Linked DNA regions of Daphnia pulex. The protein of the gene in region 2 binds, or shares a complex with, the protein of the main gene of each other region. Links are inferred from orthologs where the notes say so. Each region holds a gene or a part of one and is shown on either strand. Other genes may lie near its edges. The genes, in order: dual specificity mitogen-activated protein kinase kinase 1-like and kinase suppressor of Ras 2-like.

Region 1 (10,117 bases), on a different chromosome or scaffold from region 2:
AGTCAAAAGTGAACTTTCAAATTCCCACTTGATTTTTTTTTTAAGTTAAATGAATCAAAAAACAAAAAACAGAAAAAAAGAGAACATTGAAGTGAAAAATTTAGTGTGGACACCACGAAACCAAAACCCAATTTTTGTTGTTCTATTCATCATCATAGAGAATAATAAGCTGTAATGTGTGTGTGTGTGTCTCCTTCCTATATCACCTCGCCCGGAATATCCATCGCCGTAGAGTATCTTAACGTTGTGTGTTTCTGTTTTAGCTTCACTATAGACATTATAGAGAGAAATATTACTTTAATAACTCCCGTCTACCATTTGCGGTCATTCTTATCCGATTCTCAAAAAGTATCATGCAATTCCGGTTAAGAAAATCGACAACTACTGGAAGACGGGCGGGGAAACAACATACGAAAAATCCCCCTCCCCTCATAATCCCTCAAGCCGTCATAGGCGTATTTGTGAAGAAGAAAAAAGATAATTGGCCAAATGTGTGTGTTGTAAAGGACAAATACCAATACAGATTATATATACTACCTAACAAACAGATGATGATTTTCTTTGAAAACGGATTAGCGATCTAGAGAGAATTGAAATCTTATCGCTAGATGGCTCAGTCCTTCTATCAAACACAGCTGAGAAAAAGGGGATGTTATGATTACTCTGTATGGTGCGGTTGTTTTCGTTGGTAGGTGTTAAAGTTTCTTCTCTGGTGTAGCGATCCAGGAAAGAAACCAAAAATGAGTGAATCTGCGAATGTGATAGCCTGGGAAGAAGGCGAACCAGCTGCAGCACTTTTGGCACCGGAACAAGCCATGACGGCCGTTGTTTCGTCAAGGCTCGGACAAGTGTTCTTTCTGACTGAAGACGGCAGAGTGTACCTGTCGACTCTCAAACAAGATGGATTGAGTGGGAAATTGCAAGAGTTGGCACTTCCTTGCCAGACTGTGGTTGGTATTGCATGCAATTCGATACACACCATTTTTGTGACTGATCGGGGTAGAGTTTTGAGGTCTGAATTAGAAACCCCTGAAAAAGTAGAGGAGCTGGCCATCAAGCAACCAAATCTCTGCTGCCCTCATGGTGTTGTAGAAGACGGAGGAAGACTCTTTGTAAGAGAAGTTTCTTCCCACTCAAAAAACTTGTTGTTCATCTCAGATTCGGGCAAAGTATGGGCAGTGGATGAAAGCAAGTCGTTGTTGCCAGATAAATTGCCAGCCTTCGAGAACAAAGTACCCATAAGTATTATGTGTGGTAGCAACTTTAGCACCGCTCTCATCCAAGACTGTGAAAATTCTAACGATGATAGTATCAGCAAGCCTGGTGTAGCAAATTCTAGCAAAAGCAGCAGGGATTCCTTGGACAAAGCAAACTCATCAAAGGAAGGTCCTTTGGATGGATTGTGCATGGTTGGTTCCTGTCTAGAGTGTAGAGAGCAAAGTCTTTTGTCTCTGCACACGCTGGATCTCAACGACTCTCAACGAATGAACCAGGAAGATTTCAAAGACAATGTCAACTCTCTAGCTCAAGTTTGCTGGTCCAAGGCAGATCATCTAGTCCGTCAAAGCGCTTTGTTGCTCAACTCGACGCCCCAACTCGACGCGGCCAAACAGTTTTTAACGAAGCAGCTATCGTGGGTCACCGGGTCCGAATCGGATGACTGTAACAATAGTCCAGGAGCGGCGTCATCGTTAGAAAGTGGCAATAACGTGACTCAACAGGTGGCCAGCCGAGTTGTGGAAGGAGTCCGAAACTTGGGCGATGCCGTCAACCGCATGTCTCGGCATTGGAGCGGAACCAGCCAAGAGGAAACTCCATCCGTTCCAGCTGCATCAGCTCCTGTCGAAGTTGCCGGCAGTGAAACGCTTAGTCTACCAGCCGCTTTGCCCAGTAGTAGCAGCGGTGAGGATTCACCCGCAGCACCGGCAACACCTCGATTTATCGTCCGACAGTCGCTTCAGAGTCATCATCGGTGGAAACGCAATGGATCGTCAAGTTTATCCCTCGATTCGACGCTTGTCCGGATGACAGATCGAGAAAAATCTACCGGACTTCAACCGGATCGTCTCGTTTCGTTGGGAAGGCAACTACTTTTTACGTCTGTCTGGACGTGGGGTCAAGGAGGAGTCGGCCAGCTCGGACTATCAGATTGCGTCTCACGCGAAGTCCCCCAAACTGTCCGTCCTCTACTTGGCATAGGCATCTGTAAAGTGGTGTGCGGTTCACGGCATTCATTGGCCCTCACGTTGGATGGGCGTGTACTGGCGTGGGGAGCTAATAACAAAGGACAAGTCGAGCCCGGTGAAGACCTATCTTTCATGTCAGTCCCGACAGAAGTATCCTTACCTTTCCGTACTACCATCCGAGATATTGCGGCCGGAAGGTATACATCAATTTCAATCCAATTGTCTCTATAATTTATTGTTGGCTCATTTTCCTTTTATTTTTTACTACAGAGAACATTCGTTATTGCTGACGAGTCACGGCGAAGTGCTTTTTATGGGATTCTCAATGGCCACTCAAAAGTCCACATTGATGAGATTAAATCTACCGGCCCAAAGCCCGACTGGTAGACCGAGTCGAGTATGGGCTACCGGACCACTTAGTTGTTGTTTGCGCTGCAATCAGAGCTGCCCCTGCTGGCCCCATTGGTCCGAGTTTGTTTTATCAGAACAGCTATTTTTAAGAAATTGCCTGAAAGTCGTCCGTGGCATTTTTGATCATTTGGAATCCGCAACAACATCAACATCAACTACCTCAACCGTCCGTCGAGAGTTGTTCGATCGATACCGAGACTTGATGGCTTGCACGGCCGTCAATGTTCACTCGCTGATCGAATCGGACAATTGTGCCAACCTCAGTATTGGTCTCGTTCGTTGGATTAATGAATTCATGCACGTTTGGCGTGGTTACGGTCAGGCCCTCTGTAACGCCACTGTCGTCCATGCGCTCACACTCAACAAGACCGAAAATGCACTTTTAGATCCAGAATATATCCAACAGGGAAGCGTCGGTCGAGCCGGCAGTGATATCCTGACCACATTGATGAACGAGCCTCTAGGACGACTCAAAGATTATTCATCACAACTGGAGAAAATGATTGAAAGTCATCTTCAACGAAACGATAAAAACATCGATTGTTATAAACATGCTAGTCAACAATGTTCAAATATTGCTGCCGATTTGATGCAGGATTGTCAAACAGCAGATCTCACTAAGACCTTCTGGGATAGTTGTTCCACGAAACTAATGGGTACTACCGTTTAAATTTAAAATTTGTTTTTACTGAATTAGTAAATCATTTATATTTCCGGTTTAGATGCTTTGAGAACTCCAGTCCGTCGTCTGATCCGTGAATCCCGAACTCACCCCATTACTCTGGTTAATTCCGGTCGCTTTTCATCGCATTGGTTCATTATCTTAACTGACGTGCTTGTCCACGTCAGCGGATCATCTAATCATGTCACATATCCATTGGCCACTATTTGGGTCGAGCCGATGCAAGATAGCGATAACATCCAGACCAAGGTATCATCCAAATATTTAATAAACATTAATGTTGACTCATTCTTAGAATGGTTTATTGTAGAATGGACTTTCATTAACGATGCCGGAAGAGACCATGACGCTGGCTTGTCCAACTGCCGGTGACAAGATGGAATGGCTGGTAGCTCTTCAATCTGCCATCAGGCATGCGCTTTTAATTGACGATGTAGGATCCAGCAGTAGCGGACGAACTACGCCACCACTTGTACGGTCCGCCTCATATACTTTTACCAAGTTGCCTCATTTGAAGGATGTCACGTACAAAGGTGAGTCATGCGACACAAAAAGACTACAAATTTTCTAGAATGAAATGAACACGTTTTCCATCGGCAGGGGCTTGGTTGTGTGGCAAAATGCATGGAGAGGGTGAATTAAACTGGCCAGACGGCCGGGTTTACAAAGGAAGTTTTCGGCAGAACCAGCAGTACGGATATGGTTCTTCAGAATCATTTGGCCCCAACGGCTCTACTTATGAAGGCAGCTGGAAGGATGGCAAGATGAACGGATACGGCATTCTCAAGTATAACGAGGTTTCCAGTTACAAGGGATCATTCATTAAAAAACTGCTTTTGAAATTCAGATACGCCAACGGAGATGTTTACGAAGGAAACTTTCAAGACGGCCAACCGCATGGACACGGTACGCTCAAACGAGGTCATTTTCTCACCTCTGCCGCACATGTCTACGTTGGCCAATGGGAAGCTGGGCAAAAGTGTGGCTACGGAGTCATGGACGACATCGTCACTGGTGAAAAGTACATGGGAATGTGGCAAGCGGACGCCAGGCATGGTCAAGCTGTTCTAGTTACTTTGGACGGTCTCTACATTGAAGGCAGCTTTACCAATAACAAGATGACTGGGCAGTGCGTCATGTTATTAGAAGACGGAACGAGCTACGAAGGTGAAGTGGCTGGCGTGGGTATTCTTGGCGGCAAGGGCCTCCTTCAGTTCCCAAACGGTGATATTATTCAGGGTACTTTTCACGGCTCTTGGTCTGATGGAATTAAAATCAACGCCACCTTGACCAAAAATTCTTTAACTGCACAATCACCATTGAGTCCACCTTCCGGACTGTCCATTGGCCATTTTCAACAACAAAACGGATCAGGTGTTCCAGCCGAACGAAAATGGGGGGCCATTTTCCAACAATGCTGCTCAACTCTTGGTCTTTCTCCGAATTGCACGCAATGGACAGCCGATGATTCACTTCGTGCTTGGGACCAGATTGCAGCTGTGCTTAATCAATGTAAACAGAGAACAACCAACGACCATCATATCCGCCCGAAGATACAACACCATCGTCGCCAGGGATCGTCTATTTCGTCCAAGTCAATCAAGTCCGAAAGATTAGCTTCCGCTCAACCAGTATCCGTAGAAATCCCCGAAATTCTTCAGCATATCCCAGACTACGGACGAAATCAGCTTAATGGCGACGAGTTTGTCAAGATAGAAACTTATTTACATATGGTATTGAATTGATTCTCTTGTTTTATTATTGGTGCACTTGGAAACTTTTTTACTTTGCTCCAATTACAGGCTTTAGAATCAGAGATCCATCCATTAGGAAAATTAGCAGCCCAGATAGGAGATGTCTATCGAGCTACTTACGTCGGAGTGGGTGCCCACCCTCGACTTCTACCTCATGCAGTTTCAGAAGTTCACTCGTTTGTTAGCCGTGTTTATGCTTTTGTCCGGCTTCTCTTCCCAGCTCTTCCAGAAGACCGTGCTGTTCATCTGATTCCAAATGGTATGTACAGTCACACACATAAGAAAAAATCAAAAGACTTAAAGATAAAATTTTGTTGATGACAGAACCGTCGAACGATCATCCACAAGAATTGCAGGCCGTGGTTTCAGCCAATACTCTACTTCTGCCCGTACTTTTACCCCGACTCTATCCTCCACTTTACACTCTGTACGTTCTACACAACCAAAAGTTGGACGATCTTTATTGGGAACGACTTCAAAAATGGAATCGACAATCAGATTCGGCTCTAATGAATTTTCTGGGAGTCGATCCCAAGTTTTTTATCGAGGAAGTTGCTCCGGAAGGAAGTCACTTTCCAACAGCTGTAGATTGTCTACAACAGCTGAGTACTACATTTTCTCCTGGGAAGAAGCTCCAAGTTATTCACCAGACATTCCAAGAAGTCAGTCGTTCGGTACAGGCACATTTAGGAGCTGATTATGTCATGAACATGGATGATCTCTTCCCGGTATTTCTTTTCGTCGTTGTTCGTTCGAGAATTCGTCATCTCGGCACAGAGATTCATCTAATAGAGGATTTCATCGATAAGAATGTGCAAAATGGCGAACTAGATGTCATGTTTACTACACTGGAGGTATATATTTTTCTTTAGTTAAATACTTTTTTTTTTTACTAAAATTTTATGTTATTTTGCTAGGCTTCCTACCAGTACATTCAGCATGAGAAGATGACCTTTAATTGAAATCAGAATCAAATTATTTTAAGCGTTCGTTGTCAATCGCAATAAATATAATTATCGTGGTAAACAGAAAATAACAATTTTAATTCGAGCGTCACCAACGTTGTATTTCAGGCAACACAAAGGGTTAACAAAGTGTTTACAGGAAAAGTTTATTCCCTCTGGGACAACTTTTGGCGAGCCAACTTCTTCTTTGAAACCTTCTTTTTGTTGGTAACTTCCTCCTCCTTGACTTTGGAAACAATGTCTTCCTTCTCAGCCAGGATGACTTCCATGTGGCAAGGGCTGCTCATGTATGGGTTGATTCTTCCGTGAGCACGGTATGTTCGCCGACGCATGTATGGAGCACGGTTAATCTGTAAAACAGAGAAGTAATTTTAGACAACTCCTCTTTAAACTTGAAAATGAATTGACAATTCAATTTAAGTCAGATCCGTCTTGAAACATTGCAATCTGTCAGCTAGTAGTCTAGAATGCTTAGGGTTATAATCACACTATTTTGAAAAAAACTTTACACTATGATTCACTCCTGTACCTGAATGTGATCGATGACCAAGTGATCAACATCTAGACCCTTGAGGTCAGCATTGGACTCAGCATTCTTCAACAACTGCAGAAGGAACTCTGCAGACTTCTTGGGCCAACGTCCCTGGGTGGTACCCCATTGTTTAGCCTGCAAAGCAAAACATAGAGATTAGACTCCAAATAGTGGAAAGGCAACACGTTGAATCTTTCTTTAATGTCAGATCCGTCTTGAAACATTGCAATCTGTCAGCACTTTGTCTAGAATGCTTGGAGTTATAATCACACAATTTGGTCAATTTAATTCATACAAAAGAAATGAGCTACTAACCTGAGCACACCGGCCGACACCTCCGTTGTAACGACGGAATGGAACACACTCCTTATGCTGGATGACGTTCTTGAGGAAAGCAACAGCCCTCTTCAATGGCATACGCTTAATGGTGTTGGCAGCCTCCCTCGTGTTCTATTCAATCAAATTCAAGTCGTACGTTAAGAAACTTTCACAAGCGCGAGTATATGTTAAAACAATACCTTGAAGTGAACGCGGAGGTTGGAGCCCCTAGCCTTGCATGACTTGGTCGGGTTGTCCGGTTCACGCGAATATCGACCCATTTCTACACAAAATTGAACAGTTTAATGTAACACACGATAAAAACGTAATTTAATGGATCAACAAAGAACCACGACAAGTTAAAGATGTTTTAAATATCTTTGGATAACAGAAAGAGAACTCTCGTTGACTTACTTCAGAAGTGTTTGAGGGTACAAGAGAAACACCGAACCAAGAAAGAGGACTAAGGTTAACTCCTCTCTCTGCCAATAGGTGGATTCCGCTTCCATAGGGTGCGTTCTTAAATTTTCGTGAATATAATCAATTTTACAATTTTTAAAATTATTGTCGCAATTGTGAAATGTAAATATATTTATTATTTTTCAAAATAAAATAAATGTCAGTTTGCAAATATAATGGAAATGTGTGTTGAAATATTAAAAATTGCAACTACGGATTGTCCGAGGGTTGACTCTTGTCAAAACTTTTTCGCTGAACAATTTTGCAATTCTGATCTGTTGATATAGCCAGCCTACTTGTTTATTCGTGTTTGAGTTCCGCCAATAAGTTTTCTTTTGATGCATTTTTTTATATAGAGAAGGAACTGGAAGAACTTTTACTGTCATCATAAGCTGAGCGAGTTCATTTTAGTTGTAAAGCTTACGAATTTCATACATCGGAAACGAAAGGCAAAATGTCAAAAAACAAATTCAATTTAACTCTTCCTCCTGTGGAACCAGACCCAGTCTCCACCCCCAGTCCTGGAGAAACATCAGGAAGGAGTAATAACATAGCAGCAGCTATTAACTCTGCCAAATCAATGACACAGACCAGTAGTGTAGTTATACATTCTGGAATTGAGTAAGTTCACTATAAACACCAAGTTGTCATCCTCAATGATGTACATTTTTCACAGTAGCGGAAATACAACCATGGGAAATACAACATTAGAGGCTTTGCAAAAACAGCTGGAGGAACTTGATATTGATGAACTTCAACGACAGAGATTGCACAAGTTTCTCTCACAAAAGCAAGAAGTTGGTGAACTGACAGATGATGATTTTGATAAGCTTGGTGAACTAGGTGCCGGAAATGGGGGTGTAGTCACCAAAGTCAGACATCGTCCTTCTGGATTGATCATGGCCAGAAAGGTAATACCAACAGCAGAAAAAATTTAAGTGGTTTTTTTTTAACACAGATGTTTTATTTATGTTTCCCTAGTTGATACATCTTGAAGTGAAACCTGCCATTAAGAAGCAAATAATTAGAGAGCTAAAGGTGCTTCATGAGTGCAATTCACCTCATATTGTTGGGTTCTATGGAGCATTCTACAGGTACCTAATTTAAAACTTTCCCAAATGCATTTGTTAACTTTGGTTTAATTTTTTGTAGTGATGGTGAAATAAGTATTTGCATGGAATACATGGATGGAGGATCATTAGACTTGATCCTGAAAAAAGCGGGTCGTATTCCAGAACAATATCTAGGGAAGATAACAATTGCTGTAAGATGATCTAAAATTAATACTTAATCTATTAAAGGGTTCGAAATAAGAAAAGCTTTTTTGCTTAGGTTTTGAAAGGGTTGAGTTATCTTCGAGACAAACATCAAATTATACATCGCGATGTTAAACCAAGCAACATTCTGGTCAACAGTCGAGGAGAGATCAAAATTTGTGACTTTGGAGTGTCTGGTCAGCTTATTGACTCCATGGCTAACTCATTTGTAGGAACGAGAAGTTACATGTCGGTACGTCGTCTTTAAATAAGTTTAGAAAAGTCATTTTCACTTCGAAATACCATTAAAATGTATTTTTCTGCTAGCCGGAACGATTACAAGGAACACACTATTCGATTCAGAGTGATGTCTGGTCTCTTGGGCTGTCGTTAGTTGAAATGGCCATTGGCATGTACCCTATCCCCCCACCTGATCCACAGGTATTGGCCAACATTTTTGGTGCAAAATTCAGCGAAGATCCTGAGAACATGACTCCGTCTCCTAGCAGTCGATCGCCTCGACAAAGTAATAATCCATTGTTTTTCGCATTTCTTTCAAATGCTTAGAGATCCGTTCTTGAAACCGCAGGCCAATTTCCTGGAGGAGTCGGCAATGGCCCTAGGCCGATGGCGATATTTGAGCTTTTGGATTACATTGTCAATGAACCACCTCCCAAACTACCGTCCGGCGTTTTCTCTGTGGAATTCAAAGATTTTGTCGATCGGTGTCTCAAGAAAAATCCGGCTGAACGACCCGCTCTACGTACACTAATGGTCTGTTCCACAATTTTTTTTTTGTTTTTTTCTGATGTAGTTATTAAATCATTATTCTGTTCTTAGGGTCACGAATGGGTAAAAAAATGGACCTCTGAAAACGTGGAGATAGCTGGTTGGGTATGCAAGATCATCGATTTACAGCCTTCCACACCCACTAAACATCCCGAATAAATTTGTTTATTTTTTTTCTCTCCATCTGATAAACTTTAACAACTTTATTGTTAAAAGAAAGTCCATTTTTTTCTTCTTGTGCTTTTTCTAACTAAAAAAATCTTGGAAGATTACATTGGCGTTCACACACTATCCATCCAACAGTAGCACCCCAAGTCCTTGGGCTGGAAAATCTTCTGTTTCGTTTCGAGGATTCTATTTACTTGTCTACTCATCCGCCCAATTTACCACAGGGTAAGTGGATGTATTGTTTGTTTTGTTTCTTCTTTTCCAAATTTTCAGTCATAGAATTTCTGTGCGCTGCTGTGACATACGACGCGATCATACGCACAAAGTCGATCCAGCATTCTTCCAATGTGTATCTACTCTTTGTTTTCCCCGCCACACTCCAATCTTTTTGTCAAACCGTGAAGCTGCATAGTTAACAATCAAGATGAATTTTTCATCTTTGGTGTCAAGGCTTTGGAAAGAAAAGATGAGGAGGTTGGAATTTTCTTGTTGACGATTTTGGAGCGTTGTGGACTCACCCAAAACGAACATTCCAAGTTATCCTCCTATTCTTTCTTTTTCTACAATCTTCCTGGCCCGCGCCGTTTATTAGTTGCA
Region 2 (9,330 bases):
AAACCAGTCGCCTTCGAATACAAATCATGGTCGGCCGTGTTATTTGGTCGCGCTTGTTAGTTTTAAGTACCCTGGTGTTGGCCGTGCTTAGTTTGCCCACACCGTCTGAGTCTGAGACAAAGAAAACGGGGAATGATGATTTCAATCCCGAAACCGACGATTTCGTGCCCGCCGATCGTTACTTAACTCACGAGGAAATGATTACCTGGCTTCGGAGCGTAGCTCGTCGTCATCCGAAAATTGCCAAAGCTTTTTCGATTGGCAAGAGCGAGCAGGGTCGCGAACTCCTTGTGTTAGAATTGAGTCATTCGGTTGAACGAGGTGAACGTGATCTTCTTATGCCCATGGTGAAATTGGTAGGTGTTTTCTTTGTCGATTTTTTTGTAAATTGAATTAAAGATTTTGTACGCTCGTGACCAAAATTTACTTTGATATACTCACCAGGTTGGTAACATCCACGGAAATGAAGTTGTCGGTCGCCAATTGTTGCTTCGCACCATCTCTCACTTGATTCAAAAAAACAATGTCGATTCAAAAATTACTCGTCTGTTGAACACCACCGATATCTTCTTTCTCCCCTCAATGAATCCTGATGGCTTCGTTAAAGCTCGGGTATGCAACTTTTTGTTTTTTTGCTGCATTTTGTCTTGATGGAAAGCGAAATGGCCCTCTTTTCACTACACGCCATGAAATGGATTAACTAAGCACCCTGATCTCATATTTAAACCCTAAAGAGGCATGAAATTTACGTTTCGCTGCTGAAACAGCATTCAAGCGTATACGCGCAAAATGATTTCATCGCAATTAATCTGAACATACTTTCACCAGAGTTGATTTTACAGTCTTGACAGAACGAGAATAACGGAATAAATTACAAAAAAAGGTCAAGAGAGAGAGAAGCGAAATAAATTAGAGTATTAGACGGTTACAAAAATAACTAAACTTTCATTCTGAAATTAGAAAATTTTTAAAAATAGATCAATGAATATTCTATTCCAGATTTATTGTTGGATAATTATTCCTAATGCAGTCGTTAAGAAAATATTGTTTTATTTGAACAGGAAGGTGATTGCTGGTCAGGCGGACCGGAGGGAGGCCGTCTGAATGCTAATAACATTGATCTCAATCGGGATTTCCCCGATCAATTCAAAACTGAAGACAAATTATTAAGAAGCCAAAGCGAATTTCAACAAGGTAGAGCTTCTGAAACTCAAGCCGTTATCAAATGGATTTTGGACAATCCATTCGTCCTCTCCGCAAGTTTACACGGAGGAGCCGTCGTGGCCAGTTATCCTTATGATGGTTCCGGGTAAATAACTTAATTTTTTAAGTTCATCAACTCCTCGATTAACCTAAATATTCACAGATTTCCCAAAATTATTTTAAGATTCAATAATAAATGTTGTTTTCCTATTTTTAACTGTATGATTTACAGTACTGGTCAACACCAGGGATTTTATAGTGCTGCCCCAGACGACAAAGTATTCCGCAAGCTCTCTCAAGATTACGCTGACCGCCATCCTTTAATGAAAAAAGCCGACACATGTGGTGTGGGATTCAAAGACGGAATTACTAACGGAGCGTACTGGTACGACTTGAAAGGCGGCATGCAGGATTTCAACTACGTCCACTCAAATGCGTTCGAAGTTACACTGGAGTTGTCCTGCTGTAAATACGCTCCGGCTACGGAATTGCCAGCGGAATGGCAATATAATCGTAGACCTCTCCTAAACTACATTGCATCTACCCATCGTGGAGTGCGAGGTGTGTATTGTTTTATTTTCTGTAAATGGTTCAGATTGTATATGAAACCAGACATATTTAATGAAAAATGAGATGATTATAGGTTTGGTCGTTGACAAGGATACAAAGCGACCGATCAGAAATGCTTACGTTCACGTTTTTGGAATTGACAAAAACATCACCACTACAGGTACTTTTCTACTCAGGTTTAAGATTCAATGAGGACGTAATTCAATTCATTCTTTAATTAATTCTTACAGAAAGAGGAGAATACTGGCGCCTCTTAACTCCTGGCAGATACACCATTCAATCTTACGCTGAAGGGTAATTTTAAAAGACACTTTTGATATTTATAAATTGGTGGATGTTCTAATTGGTGTCTAAATTCGAAATGCTTTATGTTTCTTAGATTTAACCCAAGCAGCAGCCGAAACATTGAAATCACAGATATTTATACAGAACAACTCAATTTTGAATTGGAGCCAAAAGTTCGCCAAACGACCATTACTCGCCTTATTTGCGATTAAATGTATATCTAATTATAACAGGAAAGCGCGGTGTTCAACATCCGGAATCGGGAATTTTTTTAAGAATTGAATGTTCGAATTCATGCAACAAACAGCCCTTTTCAGTAAAATTAACCACCCTTTATTTATTGGTGAAAATGAAATGGTGGTAGGTCTGAAAATCAAATACACAGGGAGAAAAAAGTTCTGTTGTTAACGCTACATCTTTTTCTCGATTTTTCACACTCAATAATCCCAGATATTTTAATCATCCGTAATGAGTCAGAGCGAAATTTAGTTTTGCAATTTACGTCAGTAGGCTATTAAAAAATGAACATGTATAAAATAAACGCACCTTAAATAAAATAAAGACATGAACAAAAATGAGAATATCTTCCATGTAAAAGACATTTTTTAGCTGGCGAATTCAATGTTTATAATCACTTCAGAAATTCAAAGTAAAATATCTGAAGACAAATTACAAATGACTGAAACACTTTATTGACAGGCACAAACAAGAGGGAAGGTTGCGGGGACTAAATGAGCGGCGCGCCTACAAACTATCATACCGGCACATGTCAACTAATTTACTAAAATGCACAATATGAGTAGCAACAAGACGAAAGGATTCACTTAATAATGATTCTTTCGCCTGAATGTCGGAGTTTAGTGGAAAATTTTTTTGAAACCAGATTCTTTTTGGCTATGGCCGACAAAATAACTAGCCGATATACTTACAAGAATCATTCGGGAATTATTCCAATAGTCATCTTTCTTGATTAAATTAGCAATATACGTAAACTGCGTAATCACTGATTAGTGAATGATAAGAATTTGATTAGAAAACCGATTCGGCCGATCTCGAGAGATGGACCGGATGAGACGGACTGCGAAGCAAACGTTTTTTGGGTAATCGCTCGAGTATCTTGAGTAACTTGCTGAATTCCGCCCGATCCTTGACATTAAAGGCCCAACATGCCATGAGAATGTCCTTAAGATCACGAGAAGCTTGAAGATTTGCAAGCGACTGCTTCATACCGCGGCCAATCTGCCAAATCATGGCTTCGGGGCAATGCTCCTTGTACGGCCACTCACCACACAGCAACTCGTACCAAACCGTCCTGCATAGAATCAAGTGTGTGTCCAATGAGAAAATTCAATTCATTTATAGTTCAGTTATATGAGCAGTACCCAAAGGCGTAAGCATCGGAGGCCATAGTAAAAGGAAGCTCATCATTTTCTTCACTACTGGGTTTTAAACTTCGCATGACCTCTGGCGCCATGTAGCACAGCCAACCGGGTGGAATACTAAGTGCATCACTCCTCCTAAAATCCAATCAAAATAAATAATTCAACATTAGAAATTACATTAATTCATGTTTTCAATGTATACTGACCCATGGATTTTGCAAAGCTTTGAGACGCTAAAGAGGCCAAAATCGGTTATGATAACTTTTCCATTTTCCAAAAAGATATTTTTAGACTTTAAGTCCTTATGGATGATTCCTCGTGCATGAAGGTAGCCCATACCCTAAGATTGTAGGTAGTAATAACAGAAACATCAATGAATAATCCGCGTAATTGCAGTGACAACAGAACTTTCACTGACGACCAACTAACCTGAGATATTTGCTGGGCAATAATAACCGTTTTATTCATGCTGAATTTGTCTTTGCGTAAGTGAAGATGTGTATACAAGGTCAGGCCTTTACACATGCTCGTCACGAGCGCTAAGGTTGGCAAGTTCATGCATGCACCCATAAATAAAACTAAATTCTCATGCCGAGTTTTACGAAAGGTAGCCACCTGAATTAGAGATGGGGAAAAAATGTGAATTAGCACAAACAGTGAAGAGAAAATAAAAATTATTATTTCTTACCTCAAGTTTGAAAGATTCTAAAACTTTCTCATCTCCAATCTGATCCATATTCAAGAGTCTAACAGCCACATCACCATGCCAAATGCCCCGGTGAACGGTACCAAACCTACCCTGACCAATAGGATCTCCAAGTTCGAGCTCGTGAAACGGTATGTCCCACTCTCGAAGCGACAGCTAATGAAAATGAAAAACAAATACAATTGCTTTCAAATTGCAAATAAATAAAATTTGATTCACTAACGCTATTTTGGCGAGGCCAATGACGATCTCCCGATGTTTCAGTGTCAGAGATTTGACTGTCTTGCGAATCAACTCTGTAGGTGCGCTCCGAATCTGTACTCGTCGAATTTGATCCCGAAGTACCAGAAAGACCAGACACGGAGATAATCTTATTCGAATCTTGTGATGCATGTCCACTTGTTGAGTTCTCGACGGAAGGATTTCCGGATGCTGCCAAAGCAAGATTTTGAGAAAAGAATTTTAAATTCGTTACACATTTAAAACACGGTCTAGAATGTAGAAAATTCCAACCAATTATGGTACCTGGACTTAGGGTGGTGACAGAGTTGATAACGGAAGTACTATTCTTTGCCGACAATGGAACGTGGGATAATGGCGATAACAATGTTTCGGCACTTTGTGCTCGATCAGCTTGGCGAACATCTGTTGTTAGATGACCGTAAAAATTTACATCATTACGACTGAAACATATTTTTAAGTTTTAAATAGTACCAGGAAAGCGGAATTGTGTGATTTGTGATGCCGAAGTTGGCGTGTGATTTGCGGAAATGTGCGAAGGTAGAACTAAAGCTGGGCTTGAGGGAGTTGAACTGCTACAGCTAGATGTAGTCGAACTTGAATCAAAATGTGTAGAGTGTAGACCAAAGCCGGACGTCGACCCACCTCCTATGAAGAAAATTGTGAACAAAATTTTACTTCAGAAGTCCAGTCACATGTTTGGCACAGAAAACTAAAGTAAATTGAAGTCAAACCCTGATTCATATGAATGGCAGGTTGTGTCCTGGACTTTTTCTTGTCGTGTGGCGTGAGTCGGTTCAACGAAGGAGACGGAACCGACGTCGTACTACTACCAATCGTATTACTGATTCCAGTTGTTCGCTGCATGATCGGCGTTTGAGGACCTGCAGATGAGTTTTTTGTGATTGACTAAACTTAAAAAGATTCGATGTCTTACTTAACATATGGAGATCACTTACCATCGTTGATACGCTGACGAACATAGTCTATTAAGCCAGGTGGAAGTTTACAGGACGGCGGTACTTTGGTGGCACAATCCCGATGACATTTATATTTACAATCTTTACATTTTAGACCTAGAACCAGACAAAAAATTAAGAAATGATTTTAAGGTACGTATTATGATATGATTTTTTCCCATTAAGACTTGCCTATGAACATTTGCTTCAAGCAGAGGTCACATACTGTCAACATCTTGAAAGTCATCGTAAATCGGTGATTTATGGTATGAGCCATAACGGCCGGTCCGCCAACAGTGGGAGTCCGTGGAGATTTCGGCGTCGCAACAGTTGCTAAACAGAAAACATGAAACATTGGAAAAAAAACAAACAATAAAAGCTAAGGGGAAAAAAATGCAAATTACATTTTGGTATGTCATCATTGGAGTCGTCTGTGATGCTGCAAGGATCGGTGGCCAATCGGTGTCGCCCTTTGGACGGGGTTGAGGAAGTTGGCACGGCACCAGCCGGCGAGGCTCCAGGCAAATTGCTATTCGAAGTTGGTACAGGAGAACTGCTTCCAGTTACCGCCAAGTGTTCCATGCTACGTCCCAGCCAATAAGCGTTAGGTTTGGTACGACGAAAGCGGGACAGAAGCATAGTACTGGCACCACTACAGAGAAAAGTTATACACCCACCACCCATTCACGCGCGACAATAACGAGGCCATTTAATTACCACGAGTAGAACGTGGATTAATGTTGTTACCAAAATATTTAAATCCAAGCCAATAAGCCATGTAAACCCAATTTGAAGGTAATGGAAACATAGTTAGTTAGTAAAGGACATGGATGGGGGAAATGAATAAAAAGATCATAAAGAACAAAAAATCAGTATTCATGCTAGGTAATATATGAACGTCAGTTAAATGTTTCTGATGCAGTTCTTCTGGTCGAGAATTGTCATCGCCAGCCTTCGTGATGATGTGCATTCGCTTAACAATTCCAAGACATTTCTTAAAATATACATTAATTCTAACATTTCGCTAGAACTGTTGATGCGCTCAGATTTTCGAATAATAAAAGGAATAGTTTTTTTTTACCTGATAATATCATTTCCGTCGATTCTATTGGCTAGCTGGGATTCGTGGGAGGTAGATTTCGTAAGAGGGAAATCCGTCAATAGTGGCGCAGTACCACCAATAACCTGGTTTTTCTTGCGAGGTGGTGGAGTTGCAGGGAATTTCATACGATCTCCTAAATTGGAATTTCATTAGTTTCAACCACGCTAGTTAATAGCCGACTCCATGTATTTTACCTCTTCCTTTTAATAAAGATGGAGTAGAGGGAGGGCTGCGGTTTTCCGAAGTCATTTGCGGAATGGTTTCATGGGCAGTTATTATACTTTGAATGGGGGATGAATTTTGTATAACACTGTCATTGTGCTGTATGTTAGAGGACATTGGCATTGACATTTTTGTAGCATTATCCCAGGAATCCCAGTAAAGCGCTAAGTCAGGTGTTGTTCGGCCACTATTACCTTCCTTTTCATTATGTACCAGAACTTCTGCAATGTCAAAGCTCTTAGAGTTGGATCAGTTAAACATTTTTATAAATGAATATCTTACCAGTATATCTCTTAACACTCTGAAGTGCTCTTATCAAGCGCCTGTATTCATCTTCTTTTGCAGAACACTCATTGAAGATCCTTTTAATTTCATGATCACTGAGTTCTTGCAAAGATTCAAGAGATTGAAATTTGGCACACAAGGTTTCAACAGATGGCTGAGATATTCCAACAACTTGAAGCCATTGCTTGATTGACGGAATGTTTTTGACTTCATATGGTAATCCCTCTATGGGAATTTTGGCTTTTGCAACTAGCTGTTTGCTGAATAATTTGACTAGTTTACCCTGTTAAAATATTGAAATGATTTAATTCAGAAAATTCTTTTAAATAGTAAACATCTTACCTCTATGGTTCTGATTTCTTGTTGAATCAACTCAGCACTGGTAGAGCACTGGGTTCTCAACCCTTCTAGATGTTTAGCATGAATGTCTATCATTGCATTGATATCTAAGAGCGTTTGAATGGTGTTACAGCTGTTGACCACAACAACAGCTTTCTTTGTGATTCCAGTATCCATTCTTAAGGGTATCTATATCTAGTACTTTGGTTGTTATTGCAGAACTTTACGTACGAAATTGCATATTATTCAGACGCAAACCGTCAACACTCAAAGCTCTTCGGACTCCCGACTAATCATGTTTCCAAAGGCTTCCTCACCCACCGTACTTCTTTGTTATATGACTATCCAATGTTTTAGAAATCCATCGCGGTGTATAAGCGGTTTAAACGAACGAAAATGCACAGAGTTCCAATTTCGCAGACGCCATAACAACAATAACTAATGCCATCATAAGCGAATGTATTGCAATACATTACAGTCAGTCAGTATCAATAGAATCACTGATTATTCCATTTTTTCCACTACAGTCCGCGTACTTCTGCATTGTGTAGTAGCCATCTATGGTCCGAAAAATTAAACTGGTGTTGAATCGAGATTTAGTGTGATTTAATGTTATCAGTTATAAAATATTGTTCAATTCATTTGGTCTTGTAAAATACGGTGAATAATTTTATTTGTATGGATTTATTATTTTATTTTAAATGGAATTAGTTTTGTAAATCGATTAAATTGGCATTGGTGTCAAGTCAAGTTACTTTAGGCGCGCTTTACTTGTCTAAGAAGACGACGTGCATTTAGTTCCATACAATTTCGGTTTGTTTTTAATTTAATAAGTTTAATCAATTTAAAAACTAACAAGTTATAGAACATATCTGTAGGAAGTACCTAAATAATCATAATAAGAGGCCTCTGGTATCTAGAGTTTCTTCGGAAATGACTTCCTCGGGAAATCTGCCGTGGGTGGAAAAATATCGACCAAAACAGTTGGATGACTTGATTTCTCACCAAGATATCATTTCAACAAGTAACTCTCTATATAATTCTATTAATTTTCAAAAATGTTTCATTGCATTGCATTTTCTCTAATAAAAATTTGCAGTTCGCAAGTTCATAAATGAAAATCGATTACCTCATTTACTTTTTTATGGACCTCCTGGAACTGGAAAAACAAGCACCATTCTTGGTATTAATATTCAATAAATATTACATTAGATTTTATTTCATGATTTGACTAATCAATTCATTCAAAATTAGCATGCGCGAAAGAACTGTATACACCCCAGCAATTCAATTCCATGGTGAATAATGTTACACAATTAAAATATCCATGTTATATTACATTCTTTCTTAGTTCAAAGACATCCTACAATCTAAAACTTTTTATTTTATGTGAAGGTTCTTGAACTAAATGCTTCTGATGACCGAGGCATCAATGTTGTAAGAAATCAGATCATGAGTTTTGCTAGCACAAGATCAATATTCAAATCAGGCTTCAAACTTATTATCTTGGATGAAGCTGATGCTATGACTAATGATGCTCAAAATGCACTTAGAAGAGGTGATATTTTAAAGAGATCCAACTAGTTATTAAATAAATCATTACCATTTCATGATACATTTTTTCTAGTAATTGAAAAGTTTACTGAAAATGTTCGGTTTTGTCTCATCTGTAATTACATGAGTAAGATCATACCAGCTATCCAGTCACGCTGCACTCGTTTCCGATTCGGCCCATTAAAATCAGATCAAATTTTACCTCGGATGAATTACGTAATTGAAGAAGAAAAGTAAGAGGAGAAAATTAAACTATTCTAATCAAACATTTATTAAACTTTGTAAAATCTTTTCTCCAAATTAGAATTAAGGTCACGGAAGATGGGCGTCAAGCTTTGTTGAGCTTAGCTCATGGCGACATGCGTCGTGTCATAAATATTCTTCAAAGCACCTCAATGGCTTTTGATGAAGTGAATGAAGATCATGTTTACACTTGCGTCGGTATGAAAAAAATGATGTATGCTAATGATTCATGGAAACACA

What was found.
Region 1: the proteins of kinase suppressor of Ras 2-like (region 2) and dual specificity mitogen-activated protein kinase kinase 1-like are in contact, whole or in part, in a cryo-EM structure (PDB 8BW9), measured with the Drosophila melanogaster proteins. The link is inferred for Daphnia pulex from reciprocal best matches to the Drosophila melanogaster genes ksr and Dsor1. Residues at the interface, in NP_001287177.1 of Drosophila melanogaster: Gln767, Tyr828, Asp830, Met831, Gly832, Leu833, Gly834, Val835, His837, Arg849, Ala850, Leu851, Gln852, Asp888, Gln889, Pro890, Ala891, Glu892, Ser893, Ile895, Trp896, Gln897, Gly899, Arg900; in NP_511098.1 of Drosophila melanogaster: Gly98, Gly99, Lys123, Asp236, Met238, Ala239, Asn240, Ser241, Phe242, Val243, Gly244, Thr245, Ser247, Met249, Arg253, Leu254, Gln255, Gly256, Ala310, Met311, Ala312, Ile313, Phe314, Leu317, Asp318, Val321.

Annotation. Positions count from the first base shown.
Region 1 is NC_060027.1:2,188,981-2,199,097, forward strand, and holds the start of dual specificity mitogen-activated protein kinase kinase 1-like, read left to right. Parts: upstream 1-7,515; 5' UTR 7,516-7,761; coding exon 7,762-7,928; intron 7,929-7,983; coding exon 7,984-8,218; intron 8,219-8,288; coding exon 8,289-8,401; intron 8,402-8,459; coding exon 8,460-8,571; intron 8,572-8,639; coding exon 8,640-8,816; intron 8,817-8,890; coding exon 8,891-9,089; intron 9,090-9,130; coding exon of another isoform or gene 9,131-9,152; coding exon 9,153-9,337; intron 9,338-9,403; coding exon 9,404-9,511; 3' UTR 9,512-10,117. Other genes in the region: alsin-like, read left to right, coding at 741-2,383, 2,457-3,253, 3,320-3,528, 3,590-3,812, 3,880-4,066, 4,127-5,012, 5,082-5,292, 5,358-5,887 and 1 more; 60S ribosomal protein L17-like, read right to left, coding at 6,145-6,348, 6,528-6,665, 6,846-6,980, 7,049-7,129. UniProt on the Drosophila melanogaster protein: Required downstream of Raf in the sevenless (sev), torso (tor), and Drosophila EGF receptor homolog (DER) signal transduction pathways.
Region 2 is NC_060019.1:3,430,010-3,439,339, forward strand, and holds kinase suppressor of Ras 2-like, read right to left. Parts: upstream 7,841-9,330; 5' UTR 7,471-7,840; coding exon 7,297-7,470; intron 7,238-7,296; coding exon 6,952-7,237; intron 6,891-6,951; coding exon 6,642-6,890; intron 6,581-6,641; coding exon 6,427-6,580; intron 5,998-6,426; coding exon 5,750-5,997; intron 5,679-5,749; coding exon 5,538-5,678; intron 5,463-5,537; coding exon 5,346-5,462; intron 5,271-5,345; coding exon 5,121-5,270; intron 5,035-5,120; coding exon 4,861-5,034; intron 4,792-4,860; coding exon 4,672-4,791; intron 4,579-4,671; coding exon 4,370-4,578; intron 4,303-4,369; coding exon 4,129-4,302; intron 4,056-4,128; coding exon 3,870-4,055; intron 3,781-3,869; coding exon 3,647-3,780; intron 3,576-3,646; coding exon 3,441-3,575; intron 3,371-3,440; coding exon 3,088-3,370; 3' UTR 2,728-3,087; downstream 1-2,727. Other genes in the region: carboxypeptidase D-like, read left to right, coding at 27-356, 445-612, 1,062-1,309, 1,436-1,764, 1,847-1,933, 2,004-2,067, 2,153-2,270; replication factor C subunit 5-like, read left to right, coding at 8,227-8,317, 8,393-8,476, 8,548-8,591, 8,689-8,851, 8,921-9,080, 9,152-9,288.